3 linked regions of the Struthio camelus genome follow. The protein of the gene in region 2 purifies or fractionates together with the protein of the main gene of each other region. This does not show direct contact. Links are inferred from orthologs where the notes say so. Each region holds a gene or a part of one and is shown on either strand. Other genes may lie near its edges.

Region 1 (7,607 bases), on a different chromosome or scaffold from region 2:
CGTGCGACATGGCTCAGTGCAACATGGCACCACGCGACATGGCTCAGTGCAACACGGCACCGTGCAACATGGCACCGTGCAACATGGCACCATGCAACATGGCTCAGTGCAACACGGCACCGTGCGACATGGCACCGTGCAACATGGCACCACGCGACATGGCTCAGTGCAACACGGCACCGTGCGACACGGCACCGTGCAACATGGCACCCACGCGACATGGCTCAGTGCAACACGGCACCGTGCAACATGGCACCGCGCGACATGGCACCGCGCGACATGGCTCAGTGCAACACGGCACCGTGCGACACGGCACCGTGCAACATGGCACCACGCGACATGGCTCAGTGCAACACGGCACCGTGCAACATGGCACCGCGCGACATGGCACCACGCGACATGGCTCAGTGCAACACGGCACCCGCGCGACACGGCACCGCGGGACATGGCTCAGTGCAACACGGCACCGTGCAACATGGCACCGCGCGACATGGCACCGCGCGACATGGCTCAGTGCAACACGGCACCGTGCAACATGGCACCGCGCGACATGGCACTGTGCAACACAGCATCGTGCAACACGGCACCGCGTGGTGCGACACCGCTTGGTGCAACACGGCACCGCGCGACACGGCTCAGGACTGTGCACCACGGCGCTGCACAGCACCGCACGGCGCAACACAGGACTGTGCGACACGGCAGGGTGCGACACGGCTGGGCACCGTGCAACACGGCACCGCACGGCACCGCACGGCACGACACGGCGCGGCTCGGTGCGGCGCAACGCGGCGCGGTGCAGCACGACACGGCTCGGCACGGCACAACACGGCTCGACACGGCACAACACGGCTCGGCACGGCGCGGTGCAGCACGACACGGCGCGGTGCAGCACGACACGGCTCGACACGGCACAACACGGCTCGGCACGGCGCGGTGCAGCACGACACGGCTCGACACGGCACAACACGGCTTGACATGGCACAACACGGCTCGGCACGGCGCGGTGCAGCACGACACGGCTCGACACGGCACAACACGGCTCGACACGGCACAACACGGCTCGGCACGGCGCGGTGCAGCACGACACGGCTCGGCACGGCACAACACGGCACAACACGGCTCGGCACGGCACAACACGGCTTGACATGGTTCGGTGCAGCACGACACGGCTTGGTGCAGCACGACACGGCTCGACACGGCACAACACGGCTCGACACGGCACAACACGGCTCGGCACGGCGCGGTGCAGCTCTGGACTCGGCCAGCTAATGACATCACAGCCCGGGGCTCGGCGGCTGATGATGTCATAGCACCCAGCTCGGCAGCTGGTGACGTCACAGCCCGGGGCTCGGCGGCTGATGATGTCATAGCATCCAGCTCGGCAGCTGGTGACGTCACAGCCCGGGGCTCGGCGAATGACGGTGTCACCTCTGCCCTGGGCGGCTGATGACGTCGCAGCCTGGGGTTCAGCAGCTGATGACGTCACAGCACTCAGCTCTGCAGCGCACGACGTCACAGCCTGGGGCTGACGGTGTCACCTCTGCACTCGGTGGCCAGCGGTGTCACAGCCTCGGGCTCAGCGGCTGATGACATCACAGCCTCGGGCTCGGCGGGTGATGACGTCACAGCCTGGTGCTCGGTGGCCGACGACGTCGCGGCCGCGGGCTTGGCGGTGATGACGTCAGCCTCGGCCTCTGCGGCTGGTGACGTCACAGCCCCGGAGGCGGCAGCAGCTGGCGCCGTCGCCCTGTTCGACTCGCCGCCCGACGACGTCACAGCGTCGGACTCGCCGTCCCGTGATGTCACAGCGTCGGACCTGCCGTCCGATGATGTCACAGCAGCCCGCGGCCTTCCCCCGGGCTCGCGATGATGTCAGAGGCGCCCGGGGCGCCCGGCGCCTCCCCCGGCCTTCGCCGCTTCTCGATGATGTCAAGCCCGCGGGGGCCGCGACTCCCGATGATGTCAGCACTGCGGACTCCCGTCGCCCCCCGATGACGTCACGGTCGGGGCGGCGCCGTCGCCGACCGATGACGCCCGGCGCGGCCGCGGGCGTTGCTGACGTCGGTGACGTCACAGCCGCGGGGGTTCCCCTCCCCCCGGTGATGATGTCACAGGGCGGAGGCGCCCGCCTCACCATGATGTCACTGCCAAGACTCCGCCTCCCGTGGGGGTGGGCGGAGCCCTTTTTGATGATGTCACCTCTCTTCGCTGATGTCACCGGAGAGAGCACACCCCTTTTTAACTCCCCCTTTCCCAGTGATGTCACAGCCTCCTCCCCCGTGACATCACAGCCGTGCTTCGATGATGTCATCGCCGGCGTTCGGGGGGCCCCTCCCCTTGTACATATCTGTCCCAGTGAGTTTGTCAGGTCTCAGCCCCCCCCCCCGGCCGAACCAAGGGCTACCCCCCCCCGGGGGCCCCGGCACACGCGTGTGCACACGTGTCCCACGCGGGAGCAGCCACGGGGCGCTCGCACACGCGTGTGCCCCCCCCGTGACCTCCGGGGCCGCCCCGTCCCCACCGAATCGAAGCCATAGAAAAGGGGGGGCCCCAAAAGCGGAGCCGTCGCCGGGGGGGGGCTGCGTGTGCCGCGGGCGCACACGCGTGCCGGCGCATGTCCGTGGCATTGCACACGCATGGGGGGGGTGTCACATGTTCCCCCCCCCGGCGCCCCACGTGTCCCTCCCTGGGGCCCATGTGCCTTAGCGTCCCCCCCCCCCGGACAGGGGGGACACGACGGGGCCCGGGCGGGGGCGGCAGCACACGCGTGTGCGTGTTCTCCCCCCCCGCGACACGTGTTTGCACGCGGCGGGGGGACGTGACACGTGTGCACACGCGTGTCCCTCTCGCGCACACGCGTGTGGAGCCCCCCCCCCCCCAGCTCGAGGGTGTTTTTAAGCCCGATTTTAAGCAAAAAACCTGGTGGCCTGATGGGGGGGGGCCGGGGCGCCCCGAGGGCGGGAGGGATTTTGGGGAATAAACAGACGTTTCCTGGCCGGGGACTCGGCTGGATTCAGATTGGGGGGGGGCCGTGGGGGGTGGTTTGGGGGGGCCCAGTTTCGGGGGTCCCTGGGACTGGGGGGGCTGGTTTGGGGGGGTCCCAGATTGGGGAGGGTCCCATGGGGGCTGGTTTGGGGGTCCCAGTTTGGGGGGTCCCATAAGGGGGGGTGGTTTGGGGGTCCCAGTTTGGGGTGTCCCAGTTTGAGGGGGCTGGTTTGGGGGGGTCCCAATTTGGGGGGGTCCCATGGGGAGGTGGTTTAGGGGGGTCCCAGTTTGGGGGTCCCATGGGACTGGGGGGCCTGGCTTGGGGGGTCCCAGTTTGGGGGGGTCTCATGGGAGGGGCTGATTGGGGGGGTCCCATATTGGGGGGGTCCCATAGGGGGGTGGTTTGGGGGTCCCAGTTTGGGGGGGTCCCATAAGGGGGGGTGGTTTGGGGGCCCCAGTTTGGGGTGTCCCAGTTTGAGGGGGCTGGTTTGGGGGGGTCCCAATTTGGGGGGGTCCCATGGGGAGGTGGTTTAGGGGGGTCCCAGTTTGGGGGTCCCATGGGACTGGGGGGGCTGGTTTGGGGGGGTCCCAGTTTGGGGGTCCCATGGGACTGGGGGGGGTTGGCTTGGGGGGTCCCAGTTTGGGGGGGTCTCATGGGAGGGGCTGATTGGGGGGGTCCTAGATTGGGGGGGTCCCATGAGGGGGGGCTGGTTTAGCAGTCCCAGTTTGGGGGTCCCATGGGACTGGGGGGGCTGGTTTGGGGGGGTCCCAGTTTGGGGGTCCCATGGGACTGGGGGGGGCTGGCTTGGGGGGTCCCAGTTTGGGGGGGGTCTCATGGGAGGGGCTGATTGGGGGGGGTCCCAGATTGGGGGGGGGTCCCATGAGGGGGGGGCTGGTTTAGCGGTCCCAGTTTGGGGGTCCCATGGGACTGGGGGGGCTGGTTTGGGGGGTCCCAGTTTGGGGGTCCCAGATTGGGGGGGGGTCCCAGATTGAGGGGGGTCCCATGGGGCTGCGGTGCGTTGGGGGAGGACATCCCCCCCCCGGACGAAGCTTTCCCATGAGCCCCCGCGACAGCCCTTATTTACATACATTAATAGGAATGAGGCCGTTCCTCACGCCTTCCTCGCTGATTGGCTGCACCGGCTGCCGCTCAGTGACGCAACCGCCCCCTCCCGCCAGCGGAGGAAGTCCCGCCCCGCCGGTCAAGCCCTTCCCTCCCTCCCGCCTCCCCTCCCACCGCCCCGCGCGGCCTCTCCCGCCTCCCATTGGCGGAGCCGCCTGCCAATCGGCCGTTTCAAACGCTCCCGCCCCGCCCCTGCCCGCCGACCGTTACGGCGTCAACAACCGCCGCTTCCCGCCCCGCCCCTTCCGCCTCGCGACGTTCGTATTCCGAACCCACCAATCAGCGCCCAGCGCCCGCCCCTCCTCCCTCTTCTCCCATTGGCCCGCGCCCGCCCTTGACACCGGTAGCCCAGCTCCACCCCCAACCGCGGCGAAGGGGCGGGACCGAGCGGCCGCGCTCCGCCGGCGCTGATTGGCGCGGGGTGCGGGAGGGGGCGGGTCCGGCGGGGCCAAGAGGCTATAAAGGGCGGCGCAGAGCACGCGCCGCGCTCAGTGCGACGGGTGGGCGGCGGCGGCCGGAGCGGCGGGAGCGGGCGGCGGCGGCGGCGCCGCGGATCGGCGGGCACCTGCCGCTCTCCGGTGGGGAGAGGGGGGCCCTGCTGCGGACCCTGCCTCTCCCCACCCCCCCGGCCACCCGGCGAGGCCCCCCCGGGGCAGGGGGGGGGGCCCTGAGCGGCCTCCACCGGGCCTAGCGCCATGGTGAGTGCTCCCCGGACGCCTGGGCCCCTTGCGTGCACTTTTTTTTTTGGGGGGGGGGGGACACTTTGAGCTGGGCAGGGTTTGGGGGCAAGAGGGGCACCACCCCCCCCCAACTGCCTCCCCCTTCCCCCCCAGGCCTGTTTCCCCTCAAGCTGACTGGGGGAGGGGGGGGGGACATGGCCCCTTCTCCCCCCCCCCCAAACGTGGGTCTGTCGGGCCCAGCCAGGAGGGGGCTGAAACCAGCCCCGAGAGGGGCAACAGCCTGAAACTTGCTACCTTTGGGCCTGTTTAATTTGAGGGGGGGGGTTAAATGCAGCCCCAGGGGGTGTCCCCCCCCCCCCACGAGCTGTGGTGCAGCAATGGGTCGTTTCATCCCTTTTTCCTTCCCTTGCAGGAGGCTCGAGGTGCCTGGCAGGTGAGTGTGAAACCGGAGCGGCTTTAGGGTCTGGCACCCCCCCCCCCACTCACCCCAATTCTGCCCCCCCCCCCCCAGCAGGTGCCCCAGGGACTGGTCTGGGGGAGCCCTCGGCCGCGGGGCAGCGCCAAACCTCCAGGCGCCGCCGTCCCGCTGCGGGACGGGAAAGTTTGAGCGCGCCGAGTTGCTCCCTTGGGCCGGACGAGGGAAAATAGCGGCTTTTTTTTTTTTGGGGGGGGGAAATAAATAAATAAAAAGGGGGGGGTCGCATGAGGCTCCTCCGCAGGTGGGGAGCGGCCAAACCTCCGTCGCTTCCCCCTTTTCCGGCTGGTCTGGGGGGGTCCGAAGCCCTCCCCGGTCGGGGCCTGCTCTCGCTCCCGGTTTGGCAGGCCGGGGCCGGGGGGAAGGAGGTGCCGGAAGCGACCTGCCCTCGCGCGAGGCCTTCGCTCCTGACAAACATATTTGCTCCCGCCGCCAAGTAAAAGCACGTCCGTCCGTCCCCCCCCCACCGCCACCTCCGTCCCCCCCCCCCGCCGCCGCCGTCCCCTCCAACCCGCTGCGCAGCGGGTCGGGCGAAAAGGCGTCCAAACGCAGGGCGAGAGCGGCCGAGCGGCCGCCTAGGCCTCGGGGAGAGTCCGCTAAATCAACAATAAGTCCGGGAAAAGGGGCCGCGGCGGCTGCGCTGGGGGCTGCGGGGAGGGGGGGGCTCGCTACCAGCTGGTGGGGGGGGGGGGGGAGACGATTTGGCAGCACGGTGGGGGGATAAGTTGGCGTCGCTGCCCGAATCGTCTTTCGGCAGCTCCTTCCCTGCGCGTCTTCGGGGGGTGCTGAGGGCCGGGTGGCTCTTGGGGGCCTCGGGGCGGAAAGCGGAGGTGGGGGGGGGGGGGATGTTTTTGGCCTTCGGGGAGACCGGCTCCGTTCTCGGCGCTCCTGGTCTCTTCCCCGGCGCGCCGAGGCCTTGTTGGCCTTCTCGGACGTTTCGTCTCGAATCCGGGGCCGTTTCTAGGTGTTTTGGGGGGGGGGGGGGGCTGCTAACGATGCCCCCGGCAGCACCCGCTGCCCAAACTTTTGCCGGCCGGGGCTGGCGCATGGGACGCGCTCGGAGATTCGTTCCCTAGGCGGCTGCCTCCCCCCCCCCCCCCCCCCCCCAAAAAAAAATACCCCGCGTCCGGAGGGGTGGAGCACGAGGCGGCCGAAGAGCCTCTGGGATTTCTGGCGTGGAGCGAGTTGGCCAGTCTCAGCTCGGGAGGCAGCTTGGCCCTGGGGGTCCCTCCGACTTTTGCAGAGATCGGTCCGTGCCGGGGGGGTCTCTGACGCCTCTTCCCCCCCCCCCCCCCTTCCCAGAACTCCAACGTGGAGAACCTGCCGCCCCACATCCTGCGGCTGGTCTACAAGGAGGTGTCGATGCTGACGTCCGACCCGCCCGACGGCATCAAGCTCTTCCCCAACGAGGAGGACATCACCGACGTGCAGGTCACCATCGAAGGCCCCGGTGAGACGGGGAGGGGGGAGGCCCGGGGTTCCCCCCCCCCTTCCCCCCAGCGTGGGGCTGGCGGGGGTCCCTGTCCCCACAGCAACCTCTGTCCTGGGGACAGTGTCCCCCCCCGCCATGCGGACGGGACCCCCCCCCCCGACCAAGCCGAGCGGGAGGGGAGCGCACGGCGCGGGGGGCTCCGGACCGGCTCTCACCCCCTTTCCCCTCTCTCCCCCCCCCCCCCAGAAGGCACCCCCTACGCGGGGGGCGTTTTCCGCATGAAGCTGGTGCTGGGCAAGGAGTTCCCGGCGGCTCCCCCCAAGGGCTATTTCCTCACCAAGATCTTCCACCCCAACGTGGGCCCCAGCGGCGAGATCTGCGTCAACGTCCTCAAGCGCGACTGGAAGGCCGAGCTGGGCATCCGGCACGTGCTGCTGGTGAGCGGGGGGCCCGCCGCGGCTGGGGGGGGACGCGCACACACTGGTGGGGGGGGAAAGAGTGGGGGGGGGGGGCTGCCCCACGTGGTCAGGCTGGGCCCTGGGGTGCCCCACTGAGCCCAGGGAGCTGGGGCACCCTGCCAACCCCCCCCCCCCAAGGGTGCCCTGCCCTGGGCCTTGCATCCCCCCCAGCTGCCCCCACCTGGGGTTGGGGGACATGGGGGTGATGTTAGGGGAGTCCCGGGGCAAATGCGGACTTGGGGGTGACATTAGGGGTGTCCTGGGGCAGACTGGGAGATTTGGGGGTGACATTGGGGGTGTCCCGGGGCAGACTGGGGGACATGGGAGTGACGTTAGGGGTGTCCTGGGGCAGACTGGGAGGTTTGGGGGTGACAGGGATGTCCTGGGGCAGACTGGGGGACTTGGGGGTGACATTAGGGATGTCCTGGGGCAAACTGGGGGAACTGGGGTGATA
Region 2 (7,533 bases):
CCAGCCCCAGGCTGAGATGCCTGAGGCTTTAGCGCATGCTCTGACATCTCACACGTTTCTCGTTTTCTCCTTAGCTTTTGTCAAGCATATCATGTCTGGCTGAAACAAGGGACTTCAGGTGAGTCGGGCTCTCGCACTGTTTATGCTGAAATTGGTAATACTGGCTATAACTGTTAGGGACAGAAAACCCAAAACCTAACCCTGCAAGTGGAATAATACTACAGTAATAACCCCAGCTCTGAAAGCACGAAATGTTCACGAAAATGAACTGCATTTGTAGCTCGTGCCGTTTGAAATGTGTCCTGACCAGCCCTGTGACTGTCAGTTGTGATGTAGGAAGTGTGGCCAGTCTCTGCTTCAAACGAACGAGGTTTATGTGTTTTAGAGTGATACATTTTCTAATCCTCCTGGAGCTAAGGCGGTCATCAAACAGACACCGCTGGAGCTAAATATTTTAAAACCCGCAGAAATGGATGACTTGATGCTAAGACAACATTAAGAACTGAATAAGGAGCCAATTGTGCCAATACTTAAGAAATATCAAAATTCCTATTAGCATTAACATTAAAAAGAATATCTCAAACACACCATTTATGCTTGTTAACCTTTTTGCATTCCTCTAAGTCTGCATGAGGAAACCAGAGAAACAAGTTTCTTTCAGTATAAACTATGCCTTCAAAATCTAGACAATTTAAAAGAAAATCCAAATTAACAAGAGCTGTTCCAGCTGTTCCCAGTCTCTCCCACCAGTTTCTTCTGGTTTCAGTATCTGTTTCTTAAACATTTTTCCTCTCCTCAGCTGTGTGAAAGAAGGCCGCAAGCAAAAAAAAAAAGAAAAAAAAGAAAGAAAAAGAAAAAAGATCTGACCTTCAGATACTGTTAAATACACAAATTAAACATTTAAAAATATCTTTTCCTCTACAAATCTCTTCAAACATCAGAAGGTTAAAACAGAGGCAGACAGAAGTCTGAACTTTTGAATGTTCAGCACCTTCTTATCTTGCTTTTAATCTATTTCTCTCTGGTTCCTGTTCATCAGCTCAGCAATGTAAGCGTTTAAGTGGCAAATGCTGCTGGGGAGGTTTAAGTCTACATGAAACTATTTGCAGGAAGCACTGATTTTTAAAGGCATGGAAGGACGGCTATTGACATTTTGGGTTCGTCTGAGAAGCAGCTCTGTCATTTCAAAGATTCATTGCATTAAGCCCTCTCATTCTCGTCTCCCAGGTTTTTGGAAGCGTTTGAATCCACTTGAGCAACACAAACAGCGAGATTCCTCTGTCTGTATCCCTTCTTCCCTGGATGGCCTGAGTCTGCAGTGGTGTTTCATGAGCCGCAGCGAGGAGTTTGCCTCCATACTTGTGTGCCTGATCCTCAATATATAAAGGGATACACATCTGACCCTTGGTTTTAAACCTTATTCTTTCAAGTTTTCCCCTGTGACATTTGGCTCATTAAATTTTATTCCCTCCCCTCTTAAGTTATCTGTGTTTTGGCTTTCGACTAGTCAGTGAAACGTTAGACAGAGGAGATCAGGGCCACCAGTGATCAGACGTGGCAAGATGTTCCCTCGAAAAGGGAAACAAGGCTGGTTTTATGACCCCTGTGCTTGAGGCAGGAGTTCAAACTTGGAGGTAACGGTCTTTATTCATCACCCTCAGTGTGGGCCAGGAGCTGGACTGCAGTTTGGGCATGTCTCGCTGCTAGATCTAGGTAGGCTTTGGTAGAGCAAAGAGGGCATGAGGGAGAGGTTGCATCCACAGACCCTCTGTTCATGGGGACTCACCTGCTGTCTAACCTGAAAGCACCTTTTCTTAGCCCAACTAGTATCACTGAAAAAATCAAGGTTTTTGGTACCTGCTGAAGTACCAAGATCTTGAAGCTCTTGAGCTAGTAAAAGATACTACCTCTTCCTTAAAACCAGGCCTTTCTCAGGCATGCAGCCCATCCAACTTGCAGCAACCAGTGTAAAAGCCACAAGTATATTGCTTACGTCGAAAAGTTGCATGTAGAGCAGGAGGGCTTGTGCAATGCAAGCCGGTGGCTCTCTCCTTCTACCTACCTGCAAAAGATCACCATATTCTCCCAGAAGTGGTAAATAATTCATGACAGATAATTCAGCCCTCCTCTCAGCAGAGTGCCTGGGAGTAGATAATGCTTTTCGTTGATTTGTCCTTTATTCAAATGTCCTTGCTCTGAGCCTTATGACTAGAAATTCAAAATATTTTGCTTCAATGGAGTTGACTTCAGTTGCCACTTGCTCAACTCCGTTCAGTGACTGGGTAACAGCTGCTTTTAATTCCCACTGCTGCATACAAATGCTCATAAGCAGCAACATGAGCTGTTTGTAGATGCAAGATTAGCTTTTAGCTTCTGTGTCTGTGGTATTTCTATAGCTTCCATTAGAGGGCATCTGGGCATCTCATGCCTTTAAAGTATTATCTGTGTTTTAACCTGTTAAAGGACTGTGGTGACAGAATGAGAGAGTACACTGTGTTTGCCCTTGCCATCACCTCCATGGCATTTGCGCTGGCAGAGGAACGTGCTGTTACAGATAGGAACCGAGCAGTAGAACCGAGCAGGGGGACCTGCCCCAACTTGCAGAGAAAATCTGTAGCAGAGGCTGGGGGCCCTGCGAGTTGTGATATTCTTGCCCTGGCAAGTCAAGAGGCCGCGCTCTCACTCCTGCATGCAAAGTGTAAGCTTTGCGTTTGAGCCTCCAGCTTCTTTGCAGACTGGAATGACACCGTAAATTAAAACCAAAGAGGTTCTTGCAAAGAGACAGACAGTAAGAGAGCGGCAGGGAAAAGAGCGAGAGAATGAGATAAAACATGAGTGCCGTGAAATCCAGCCTTTGAAGTGCCCTCAGGGATAGAGACAATCACCCATCCCTTTGGGGGACCTGTTCTGTTTCTTTTGGGATAAAGTGGAGCTGATTTATACCCAGACCGGTTGGAATGATGCACTTAGCAGGTGTAGTGGAAACCTACGTCTTTTCATGCCCTGCCACCTCCGTTGGTCGAAATCAGCCCTGCATACAAGTCCTCGCTGTGGGGCGGTGAGGGGCAAAGGGAAGAGGAGGGTGGATTCACACCCTTGACCAGGTTGTTGGTGTAACCTTCACGTGCTTGGCCGTTTGGGCATCCTGACAGGCAGGACACAACTGCTAAGCAAAGCCGTCCTGAGGATGCCAACTGGCAGCCCTGTTTGTCCAGCTGCCCCAGGTACGTTCGCTGCCCCACCACCTGCCTCTGCCACTGAAAAAGCCCTACGAGCTGGCGGTTTTAGTCCCGCGGACATTTATAAAAAGCATCTGCGGACACCTGCGAGCGTCCCCGCACGCAGAAACGGCACGTCAGGGCCAGAGGAACCTGAGTGTCCCAAGACGATAGTCAACGCTGTGCCCTTTTATAGCCCGACGCTTCACTCCGAGCCCAGGGCACTCCAAGGAGAGGTAAAAATAACCCCCCGGCCCAAGGAGAGCCTATGGCCGTATCTCCTCAGCTTGCGATAAGACGGAGACGCACACCAAAGATGGTCTGAGTTTCGGGGGAGTCGGCGCTGTCCCTGTGAAATGAAGAGCCGGACGGAGCCAGCTCTGGCCCGGAGGAGCTATCAGCAGCTCAGGGCAGGGCGGCGAGGCCGAGACGGGGCCGAAGAGGACGCGCTGTGGGCCTTGAACGGAGCCCTAAGCTGCGTGCCCGCGTACGTACACCACCGGCCCCGTCGGCTCGCGCGGCCGAAGGCCATTAGGCTGCACCGGATCGCACCGGCGGCGCCCATGGCCTTGGGCGCCCGACCCCACGGTCAGCCGGGCCTCCATGTTAGGGGGAAGCACTGCTCCGTGACCCATTTTCTCGCTCCTCTCCGGTCAGGGAGCGAAGAACGCCTTGCCTGTGGGTGCCAAGCCGCCTACACCCTGAAAGCAAACACCTGCAGATTTATCGGAGCGACTACAAACTTGTAAATACGCTATTCGGGGCTGCCCGGGCTACAGGCACCTGGGGGAGCCGGTAGCCCGCGGCAGGAGCGCTTCCCCCCTCCGCGGCCCGGGCGGGAACGGCGCTGCCCACCCGCTCTACCGGCAGCTTTTAATTTAATTTAACCCGGCGGGGGCTGCAGGCCTGAGGCAGCAGCCGCCAGGGAGGCTCTGAGGGAAACAACCGAGCGGGTCGTAACCGGATCCTGCCGGGGGGAGAGGGGGGAAGCACCGAGCGGCCCCGCCGCGCCTCAGCGCCGCCAGGCCCCCCCCGCTCCCGGCCGCCTCCCGCCCTCCCTCCCCCCTGCGGCCCCCGCCCCGCCCCGCCGCGCCGCTCGGCAATCTCCGGCCGCGCTCGGGCGGTTCCGCCGGCTCGGGCTCTTCCGCCTCGCCGACGAGCGGGGGCTTTCCCAGCTGTTTTCCGTCAGCGCTCGGCTCTTTCCGCCGCCAGCTTCGGCTATTTCCGCCAGCGCGTTCGGGTGTTTCCGCCGCCAGCTTCGGGCGGACTCGGGCGCTTGGCCGGCCTCGTTCCTTCCCTCCCCGCCGCCTGCCCCGGTAACGGTCGCTGGGAGTTTAAATGAGCAGGGGCCGGGCCGGGCCGCGCCGCCGCCGGGACACGCACTGAGGCGGGGCCGGGGCCGCCGCGCTCCGGGCTCGGCGACGAGGAGGCGGAGGTCGGGGGAGCAGGATGACGGTGCTGCAGGAACCCGTCCAGGTACCGACCCCTGGGCGGCACGGGCTCGGGCTCGCCGCCGCGCTCAGGCCCGAAGGCCCGGCCCGGCCCGGCCTGGCCTAGTGGGGGGAACCGGTCCCGCCGCGGGGGCCTCGCGGCCGCCGGGCCCTCTCCTGCCGCGGGGGATCCCCGTTGCCCTCCTCGGCCCGCTCCCGGCGGGGGCTGCGGGCCCCGGGGCTGCCCCTCTGCCGCGGCCGCCGGCGGTGCGAGCGGGGCCCGGCCCGCAGGGCGCCTCTGCCCTGCCCGTTGGGACCCTCCAGCCGCCGTGGGGCTGCTGGGCTTCCTCTGCCCTCCGGGCGACCCTAGGGACGGGCTTCCCCCGCCCCCAGGGGGTGCTCGGGCCCCTCCGGATCCCCGCCCGGTGTCCCCCCCCCCGCAGGAGGTGTCGGGCGCCTGCAGCGCCGCAGCCAAGTCTGCTTCCAGAAGAGGCCCCTCTGCTTCCCCCCCACCCCCTGGATCCCCCGGGAGACCTGTTGATGCTGCTCTCTCCATCTCGCTTACCTGTCGGCATTTGCTGCCGTTTCCCTTTTATTAAATGCTCACGGTGTGCTTGGCTCTGTATGTGTCGTGCGAATGAAGGACGTGCCTTATTCCCCAGGAGCTGGTATCGTCAGACTGATAGGAGACCTGGAAGAGAAAATAACGTAAATGTCATCGTTTCCCTACCATATTTTAGTCTAATTGCAATTCTCCTGGTGGACTTCCCACCCTTGGTTTAGTCTTCCCATCCAAAACACAGGATTCATAAACTAAAGAAGTTGCTTCCTCTTTCCACCTTTCCTATATGCACATTGCTTCAGCCTTTCTGTAATCTTCCATTAACTGCTCTTCTTTTTCATGCCTCTTTTTCCTTTTGTATTTTGGCTTTTCTAACACTTTTTCCCTTGATAGGTGAAGAACCTCTCGCTGTGTTTTGTTAGTACAGGAATTCTGTACTGTAATGAACAGAGTGAAATCATTGCTTATGGCTCTCCTCCCTTCCTTTAATGAGAAGAAGATCAGGGGGAAGAAAGATTTCTGTGGAAGACCACCTTGCTCTCTTGACCCTGTCCATGCAAAATGGTGGCAGTGATGGCCCTGCTGCTGCAGAGCAGGGGTTTGTGCCCTTGGTGCTGTTGTTCTGTTGGTCTGCTCTGAGAGCAGCAGTCAATGGGGTGCTGGAAATGCTTGCAGCCAGCTGGTTCCTCTTCTGCAGTGGTTGTACTCAAGCTGTTGCGGTGATGCTGGAGCTGGACTGCTGTTTTGCATCAGTTGGGTATTCTAGGAAAACATTTACAATAGAAAAGGAAGAATGTGTATTTTGGAGTGAATGACAGGAAACAATAGTTAATGTTTCCGGTACTGTGCTAATTAGACTAACCAAGTGGAAAATAATCTGTTGTTCTGAGACTTCCCTAGCAGAAAAGCGCAGTCTTATTTTCTCTCAGAAATGTAGAGACCTATCTAATGACATTCTCCATACTTGAGCACTTACCAATATGTTTTGAATATGTTTTGATGGGGCTTTGCTAGATTGAATATATCCATTTTGACTCCATCTACTTTGAAATGCCAAATAATTCTTTGGTCAGTGGTTCTACTACTGTCTGCCTTGCTGCTGTTCTATGCTTACAGCAGTACTAGTAAGTGTGGGATTTATTGGTAGCTGTAGCCTTGGTCCCACTGCTCCTTTCAGTGGCAGGGAAGTAACCAGTGCACCCTCCAAAACGAAGTCAACATTTGAGTTTTCCCCAGGTCCTGACTGTGCTTGAATGAATTTCTGTTCCTAAACATGCTCACTCCTTTTCTGCCCTCCAACAGATTTTTTTTTTTTTTTTTAGTTGCTTGCTTCCCCATTCTGTGCTGGTGACTTGACAGAAGCCTGGCTGCCTTGGTCACCTGTAGTCTTTCTTGGGGATGGATGGGGCAGCGGTGTGGGGACTGGACCGCTATATTACAGTGACTTTCCAAAACAGCTCATATTTATTGTGTTATTGATGTAATGTGTCCAGTGATCAGTCTCAATCTAAATTCATACTGCAAAATGAAGTCTGTTGTACTCCAGCCTTAATGGGAACTGAAAATTACAAGTACTTATCTCTGGTTGACTGTTGTTGTGTGTTTAACAATATTTTTGTAAAAGGTGGTGGTGGTACTTCTTTTTTTTTTTTTTTTGTCCTTCCAGAGATTTCTCCTGTCTAGTTGTCTCTTCTCTCCCAGGCTTGCAAATGTCTACAGGGTTTGTCATTCCAGGAAAAACTGTCATCCTTACAGTCGTAATATGCGAACTGTGGCAGATAAACAATGAAATCTCTGTGTGTATGTTGCCTTGTAAATGTTGGGTCTTAAGTATATGAAGTTCTTGTCCTGAAAAGCTTCCAGTTCACTGGTTAGGCTTCCCCTTACGCACACGTACCCTTAATATGAATAAAAGTGCCAGAGTTTAAGTAGAGAACAGACCCCTACTGTACTTCCTGTTGTGGTCAATTAAAACTCTTCAACTCAAACATAAAGCCATTTATCCCATGTGCTGAGAAGCAGATTGAATGCCTTTTAAAATATTTCTGAAAAACATCCTGAAAACAAATGGTTTTCTTAGACTTTAACTGTTCAAGGTAATCATCTGCTGAGATCCACTTGAGTGATGCTTTAACTCCAAGGCTGTGTTGCTGTTATGGCTGTATACCTGTACTGTTAGTATCTCAGTGTTCAATTATTTAATGGATAGACTTTCCGTAACTAGTAAATGCAGCAAGTGTCACTGAAAGTTCTCTCCTCCCCTCTGCCCCCTCTGAACAAGTCTTAAATTGTGGTAGGAAGTGATTGTTGGGCTTGTTAATAG
Region 3 (7,742 bases), on a different chromosome or scaffold from region 2:
GATGAGAGGACACATGGAGGCACTCTCCAGAACAGACAGGGAGACAGCACTGGGGTTGCTCTACCTCCAGGAGCCTTCCACCCAGCAGAGGTCTTTTAGGCAACTGGGACTTTCAGCAGCCTGGGGCCTGCCACCCACCAGAAGATACTTAGGCAGCCAGCACCTTTTACCCATGGAACAAGTTTCACCAGTTTGAAGGCTTTCATCATCAGCACTGGAGGCTTTCAGGCAGGCACGTCATTCCAATGCTGATGTGTCTTACGGAGGACTTGGAGGAGATCTTCCCCAGGAACAACTGCTGATCTCTAAGACAACCTTTATCAAGTAATTGGCTCAGGAGCAGGAGCTGAGCACTGGTGAACCTCTTTCCATGTTTCTTGATAATCCTTAGCAGTGGGTTCAGGATGTGATATTACAACCAGGCACAGTTCTGAGATAATACTCTAGGAGCGTATGCAAGGATGCCAAGGACTGAGGTTGGTTTAGGATGATGTCTTAGGAACTGGCTGGTCCTAGCTCCAGACTTCACACAGCCATTCGTGATGTATTTAGCCTCTTTAGACAGCTCTGCTCTTTTTATAGGTGTCCTTCCTTTGTGAGACCATGCCATGCACAGACAGTTGAAGCATAGCCACCTGCCAATTGCAGTGAATATATCCCTATTAGTATTTTTACTTAAGCACTCTGAACGCCTTCCAGTTACTGATTGTGTAGTCCAGCCTTTCCAGGAAAGCCTGACAATAGATATTTTTTTTATTTGGATACAAAACCACCCTGTGCTGCAGTGACCCTTTTGACTTATTTTTTCCTGTGCTTTGTCATAGGCCTAGGGTAAATAATGCTACTGAACAGGCAATCCCCAGGATGGTGATATCAGCCCTGAATAGAGATCTTTCATGCAGTAGGTCCTGCATGAACCTGGTCCCAGATATTTCCAGGTAACTTTTGATATTTTCTACATGGTTGCATTTACCATGGGTCAGGATAATCCTCTCAGCTAAAATTATGTGCCTTTTCCTGTAACCTATTTGATTCATCTTCCAAAAATTAGTTCATGTTATGCCTTTCTCCATTAGTCTAAAGAGCCTGTAAGTACCAGGTATTTTCTCCACATGAAAGCACTTACTCACTGTAATCACCTGACTACATTTCACCTGACCTGATTTCAGTTTGGTTTTAGAATAATAGATAACATCTTAAAAAAACAGGTAGCTCAGTAAGCAGAGGAGCTAATGAAGCTTGTTTTCCTTTGGATTTGTAGTGCATGGTTAGATTCTCTGGTGTCTAGAGTGCACACATTAGTCAAAGATTTTCCTGCAACTGCATCAACATTAATGTGAGTCCATCCATAAGGATAATAATAATCCATGTGGATTCTCTGCTCTAATAACATAGTTGAACTCTTTAGGATCTTCCTTCTCTATCTGCTCAGTTATATTTTTGGAACGTGTAGGAAGGTAATTATTTTTAGGAGTAAGTTAATGGGGGAGGGATGGAGGGCTAGTAGAAACATACTTGTGATATGGTCACTTAAGTTCCATTTCCATAGGGAGCTAGACAAAAAAATCAGTTCTATGTGAAATAAAAACTGTTTGTTAAGTTCTAGGCAACTGGCATGTTCTCAATGGAAAATACTATTCCAGACGGTCACATTTGGACTGTCTTGTTTTTAAATTCTTTTTTTGGTATCATCATTGGGAAACTGGCATACCAGGATCCCTGCTAAGGCAATTCGAGTTACAGGTGCACAGCAGCTCCAAAATTCAAGTCTTTCCTGTGTAAAATCAAGCAAACAGTTTCTTGTAATTTGAGTTTAGGGACACCAAGATAGGGGAAAATCTACTATTCTTATGGGTGGCATGTATCCATAGTCACGGCTGTTAGAGAATTAATGAGTGCTGTGGTAATGAAAATGCCTGTGACAATAACACTGTATGCAGATCTGGTGAAAGCTGTACCTCAATATATTTGAAGAGACTGTAAGTAAAAAAAAATTCATGGAATAATATTTGAGATAAACAATTCTACAAAAGAAATCCCTAAATTTTTGTTTGTTTGTTTTTTGTTTTTAAACTGGACAGTTGAGGCCAGCAATATATTTATCTATTGTATTGTCTAATGCATCCTTTAGTCAAATATTTTGAGGTGTACTACCTATAAGCTTCACCGTGGAGGGTAAGTACATTACTTCCCCTTTAAAAGAGGGATAATTGAGGCACAGAGACCGAACTGTCTGTTTTCATGGACTGAGTTATAAGACAGCCCAGAAGGGAAATCACAAATTGTTATACTACATTTCTTACTTAGGGACAACAGCAGTTCTTTAGCTGTTGGTGAATTTAGGATTTAAGATTACTCAGGAATTTGACTTTTGAAGTTCTTTACACCTCAAAAAATGAGTATCTTAATCAGTTTAAAAAGCACCCTTAAAGATCAATTCAAACACCTTCTGTTCATAAGGTAAATAATATTCATTTTAAAAATTAGCAAATAAGTGAAGACATATATAGTAGATAGGGCTGTTAGTTTCACTCTAAGATAGAGAACTAAGTAATGACACACTTTCAAAATATTCAGCCAGGTATTTAAATATTCAGTTATAGAATACAAGCAATGGGTAGAGCAAATCTGGATTCAGTAAAATTTGTATGTTCCCCTCTCTGAATGCAAAAGTATGTCTTCTTTACTCTCCTCGGTCTCCTCCTCATTAATTCCCATGCAGTTAGCTCTTCTTTCAGTACTTGCAAAAACTTCCACTGCTGCCGCATTTGTTTTCACTCATGTGTTTTTTATTTTCCTAATTTTTCTAGTTTGTATTGGAAAACCATAAAGGTACAGCTGCTGCAACAAACTCCCCTTTTGAAGCTTGCCTGCTGCACGCATTTCTTTTGGAGTCTGAGATAGCTCTGAGTCCTAACACTTAAAAAAAAAAAAAAAAGAAAAGTATAGTATTTTTAATCACTATAATTACTGCTTCTGAATTTTGTTCCTTAGCTGTCCTGTCCACAGCTGTGTTGTGCAGAATTTCTTCAATGAACATGTTCTTGTTTCCTCCCAAACCAGCTCAGGAAAAATACTAGGAAATTTGACTCTCTGATACTTTTTTTCTGACATTTAATAACATGCCATGGATAAGTCCCTCGGCATTTTAGACTGTTCTTCTCATCTTTCATATGTGAGTGCGTTCAATGTGGATGTCTGGCCCAGATATCAAAATCAATATTCCTTCTGATTATATCTCAAATTTTCTGATTCTAGATACTGTAAACTGCAGTATCCCACAAACCCAGAGAACATTAGTCAAGAGTTTGGAAAGAAGTCTTGCATTCTGGAATTCAGGCCTAAAAGAAACAAAGTGACTGTTCTGAACTTTGTTTCACCAGATTAATTTATTCTACAATACAAGGTTTTTGTTTGTTTGTTTTTTAAATCCACAACCACCATGCTTCATTAATCTCTGCTTAACTAATGATCTGTTTAAATTCAGAAAGTTTGCCACACTGGGGATGTGTCTGAAGGAGGAGAGTACCGCTGTCTAATATCCCAGTATTTGTGTGTGTTTGTTAATCCTGAGACGTGAATTTTTACAACAAAGTCATCAACTAGAAAAACAGAGTTAAAGATGTTATGTCATCTATGTACAATGAACCTGGGTAAATGCAAGATTTCTGTGCACAAGAGCAAAAGAAAAAATGTAAGAAAAAAACAGAATATCCATAACTACGTGTCAGGACTTCAAATCCAATTTAATATTAAAAAAACAAAATACTCACGTGGAGAAGATGAACTAAAATAAAACACTGATGTCTCAATCATCCCAATATTTATAATTTCTCTTCTTGTCACTCAAAGGACTTATTAAGATCTTTCAGGTACTCAATTCCTCCTTTTTGGCTGGAAGACTCGGCACCTTTCTGAGGTCCAGAAACATGATTTTACATGTCTATCACCTCTTTGAAGAGACAAGACAGGATTTTCCTCAGATATTTTTCTAGTTATTTTTATAAAGTGTATTATTGTTCACTATAATCCTCTATGTTTACTTTCAGTACTTCCTACTGAGCTTCTTTTCTCTTCCTGAACATGTACTTCTAGGTAATTTTTTTTGCTTCATTACCAGAAAAGTTCTCAGAAACGTAGTTTAATTTGCTATAGTATTTTAAAAAACTAGGCTGCTATTAAATATTATCTATATAGATATACTTGGCTGGACTCCCACAGCAAAGTGTTAGGCATTTATTGTTAGTTATTTCCATGCACAAAAATTAAAATATTTATAAGAAATAGTGCATTGATCTTACTATTTATCTTCAGCATTTAATATTTTATCAAATAACTATGACCTGGAATAAGAGAAAAGGAACCTTATGGCACAAAAACTGACAAACTTTGGCAGAAAGTAACAGAAGAATCTTAGGTTTTTGTTAAGTTTTGGAAAATGATTAATGAAATTTGATGAGAAAAAGCAGAATCAAACATTAGAAACAACACTAAAAATGGATTATTGAGAACTATTTGGCAGCTTTCAAAGACCTGAAGTCAGCACGTGCACTTTCAAGACTAGAAACTTGAGTTGCTTCTAGACTAGACATCAGAGATTAAAAATACAGCATGTGACAAGAGAGGCCTCCATTTAAACTTCAAATATATACTTGGAAACATTGGACTCTTTGGGTTCTCTCATATGACCAGGGTGGAAATCAGACAGAAGGAAAGAAAACAGGGTACCTCCTGAAATTTTTATTGATTGCTTTTAGAAAAAGAATTTTTCTCAAATTACCCAACTCTTAAAATAAAACAAGTGTAATCAGAACTAAAATTACTATGCTGCTGGTCTTTGGAGCATGACATTTTGACATTTCTCTGATTCAAACTTACATTCCTAAAGAAAACTTCAAGATAGCCCCTAGAGCAAACACAGTATTCAAAACCTACTCTATTTCTTTTGAAATACAAATAGAAAGACTCCCTTTCATAACAGTGGGAACGTGTCATGACCTTTTGCTTGAAAGTACAGAAGTTTGAAACTGAGACATATCTGAAATCAGAAATGAAGCTTACAGCCTGCCTAATAATACAGTATTTTTTGTTATTCTTATTGCATAATGTCATATTTTATTTATGATGCTAATGATGAGGATCTTCTTCTTAAGGTAATTAAAATCAGACTTAAAATGAGTCATTCAGAGCACCCTGTTACTCATTAACAAAGTTAAAATGTTTTTACACTGTATAATTCATTTGCTCATTTTTTCTGTAATGAACAAACATTATCTGTGAATAGAAAGCTATAGGATCTTTATAATGGATAACAGGAGCTTTTGTGCCTCTTGCTGGTGAAAGTAATGGCTTAGATTTTTCTGAAGGCTAATAATATAAGAATATTTTATAAATATTCAGTAACACCATGACCCCCTAAGCCCCTCAAACCCTTTTGAAACAAAATGGGGAAATGATTAATGGGACCATGTGTAGATGCGATATGAGATATTACTCTGTCCTCCGGCCATGTTCTGAAAATCTCTCACGTTGCTGAAAGCTTGAGAACAACTCCCTTTTGTGCCTGATCCAGAAATTATACTGGTGAGTTATAATACTCTGCTGAAGAACTAGGAGTCGCTGCCTCAAGCACAGGCACGTCCACAAGGAGAGGGATTAAGCAGAACTGAAACCAGAACTCCGCTCCAGTATCACTCCAAAATTACCCTAAATAATGCTAGAAAATACATTACATACCTTTAAAAATATCCCCATAATGTTATCTAATATATTAAAACTACTGACTCATCTTTTGGAATCGGAGGCCTATATTCCCGTTTTAAAAGGATTACATTGTAAGTTATTGATTTATTAGGCTTCTTTTCTAAAGCTATCTGTATACAGTATAATAGTAAAGCTGGTATGACTTTTGAAAATAATTTTATTGAAGAATTTCTTGAAGAATCATGAAGAATTTTCCTCATTGGTTTAAAGGAATGTTTCAGAAACAAATTTTTATTATTTTAAGCACTTTCAGTTTGCTAATGCTTGTTAATATTAAGAAAACCCTCCATTAAGCTCTTCCAATTTTCTGACCAGCATCTGCTCAACAGCTACATTTATTTTAGAAAAGGGGAGAACAGTAATTTATTGTTTTTCCTGGAAGACTGTCTCTTTTCCTGGCTCGCTACGAATATCTTTGTTGTTGTTGTTGTTGTTTTAACCGCTACACCCGTTATGTTTATGGCTTATCCGAGCGCCCCACGCGTTGATCGCTTCCTGTTCCAGCAGCCCCCTGTGCCGGCACTGGGGGGCGAGAGGAAGGCCAGGCGCCGTCCCCATCCAGCCGGGGGGGGGGGGGGGGCGCTGGGCCTTCGCCGGAGAGGCTCGCCAGCGCTTACCACCCATTTGAGCCGAAGGGTTTGCCCAGCGGCAGCGGCCGGGATTGCTTCCGTCGGACTACCTCCGCGAGAGGAAGTTACCGAGCGAGGGGGAGCTCCGGCGGCCGCCGCGTCCCTCAGCGGGCCTGACGGGAAGCGCGGATACCCGCGGCGCGCCTCGCTCTCCGAAGCCTACCGGGAGAGGGCCCTCCCGTCCCCCCGGCCCGGCAGAGCACCGCCGCTGCCGCCCCCCGGGAGGGTGGTTGGGGGGGGGGGGGGGGGAAGGGAGAGCGGCGGGCAGGCGGCAGCTCTCGCGATGGCTCCCTGACGCCGCGGTGCGGCCGTTGTAACGGCCGTTACCTGGCGGGCGTTGTTTACGGCGGGGCAGCCAATGGGAAGGCGGGTCGCGTGGGCGGGGCTGGGAGGCCCGGCCAATGGGCGGGAGGGGCGGCGCGTTTAAACGCGGCAGGTGCCGAGGCCCGGCTCGGCTCGGCGGGGGCCGCGTCTGCGCCGTCATGCCCAGCCGCCCCGAGGACTACGAGGTGCTGCTCACCATCGGCGCCGGCTCCTACGGCAAGTGCCGCAAGGTGCGCCGCAAGGCTGACGGCAAGGTGAGGCGGGGGGGGGGGGGGCAAGGGTGAGGGGCTGTGCCGCTCCTCGCATCGCGCCTCGCCCTGGCGGGCCGGTGGTGCTGCGCATGCGCGGCCTCCCGGCGGCTCTTCGGCGTAAGCGAGCGGCTTTAACAGTCCTCCCCCTGCTCTGTTTCGTGTGTCAGTCTCTTTGAATTTCCCCCCTTCCTTCTTCCCTTCCTTCCCCCCCCCCCCAAGGTCTTAGTTTGGAAGGAGCTCGACTACGGCTCCATGACAGAGGCAGAGAAGCAGATGCTTGTTTCGGAAGTGAATTTGCTCCGTGAGCTGAAGCACCCGAACATCGTCCGCTATTACGATCGCATCATCGACCGGAGCAGCACGACCCTGTACATCGTGATGGAGTACTGTGACGGGGGTGACCTGGCCAGCCTCATCGCACGGTGCACGAAGGAAAGGTACGTGAGAGCCCGCTGTGACAGCCCTAGAGTCTCTAGCGCAAAGTATCTCGGGTGATGAAAAGAACAAGCCCGAAAGGGGGGGGTTGCATCCCTTAATAGCCCCCTAACATGTTCAAATCTAATCTCTTGAATGTAGCAACTTTTCTGAAATGTGAAGGGGTTGTACAAAATAGCTATGCTGGTGGGAACTGTGCTGGAGGATGCCACTAGTGATAGGATTGCTCTTTCTCTGTATCCAAAGAGTAAAGAACATTGACCCTTTCTGAGGCAGAAGGTGGTGAAGGGATTTGGGGTACTGTGCTGTGCATGACTGGGAGAACTTTAAACAGTGAGTC

The links.
Region 1: the proteins of CDC27 (region 2) and UBE2S purify together in Homo sapiens (affinity purification with western blotting; 4 studies listed by BioGRID, with this or other methods). This does not show direct contact. The link is inferred for Struthio camelus from reciprocal best matches to the Homo sapiens genes CDC27 and UBE2S.
Region 3: the proteins of CDC27 (region 2) and NEK2 purify together in Homo sapiens (affinity purification with mass spectrometry; 6 studies listed by BioGRID and IntAct, with this or other methods). This does not show direct contact. The link is inferred for Struthio camelus from reciprocal best matches to the Homo sapiens genes CDC27 and NEK2.

Annotation. Positions count from the first base shown.
Region 1 is NW_027182594.1:68,614-76,220, reverse strand, and holds the start of UBE2S (ubiquitin-conjugating enzyme E2 S), read left to right. Parts: upstream 1-4,596; 5' UTR 4,597-4,803; coding exon 4,804-4,806; intron 4,807-5,200; coding exon 5,201-5,221; intron 5,222-6,565; coding exon 6,566-6,713; intron 6,714-6,941; coding exon 6,942-7,132; intron 7,133-7,607. UniProt on the Homo sapiens protein: Accepts ubiquitin from the E1 complex and catalyzes its covalent attachment to other proteins. Catalyzes 'Lys-11'-linked polyubiquitination.
Region 2 is NC_090966.1:4,355,330-4,362,862, forward strand, and holds the start of CDC27 (cell division cycle protein 27 homolog), read left to right. Parts: upstream 1-4,523; 5' UTR 4,524-4,667; coding exon 4,668-4,694; intron 4,695-7,533. Other genes in the region: uncharacterized protein, read left to right, coding at 75-103. UniProt on the Homo sapiens protein: Component of the anaphase promoting complex/cyclosome (APC/C), a cell cycle-regulated E3 ubiquitin ligase that controls progression through mitosis and the G1 phase of the cell cycle.
Region 3 is NC_090944.1:113,862,502-113,870,243, reverse strand, and holds the start of NEK2 (serine/threonine-protein kinase Nek2), read left to right. Parts: upstream 1-4,731; 5' UTR 4,732-6,793; coding exon 6,794-6,970; intron 6,971-7,134; exon of another isoform or gene 7,135-7,186; coding exon 7,187-7,404; intron 7,405-7,742. UniProt on the Homo sapiens protein: Protein kinase which is involved in the control of centrosome separation and bipolar spindle formation in mitotic cells and chromatin condensation in meiotic cells.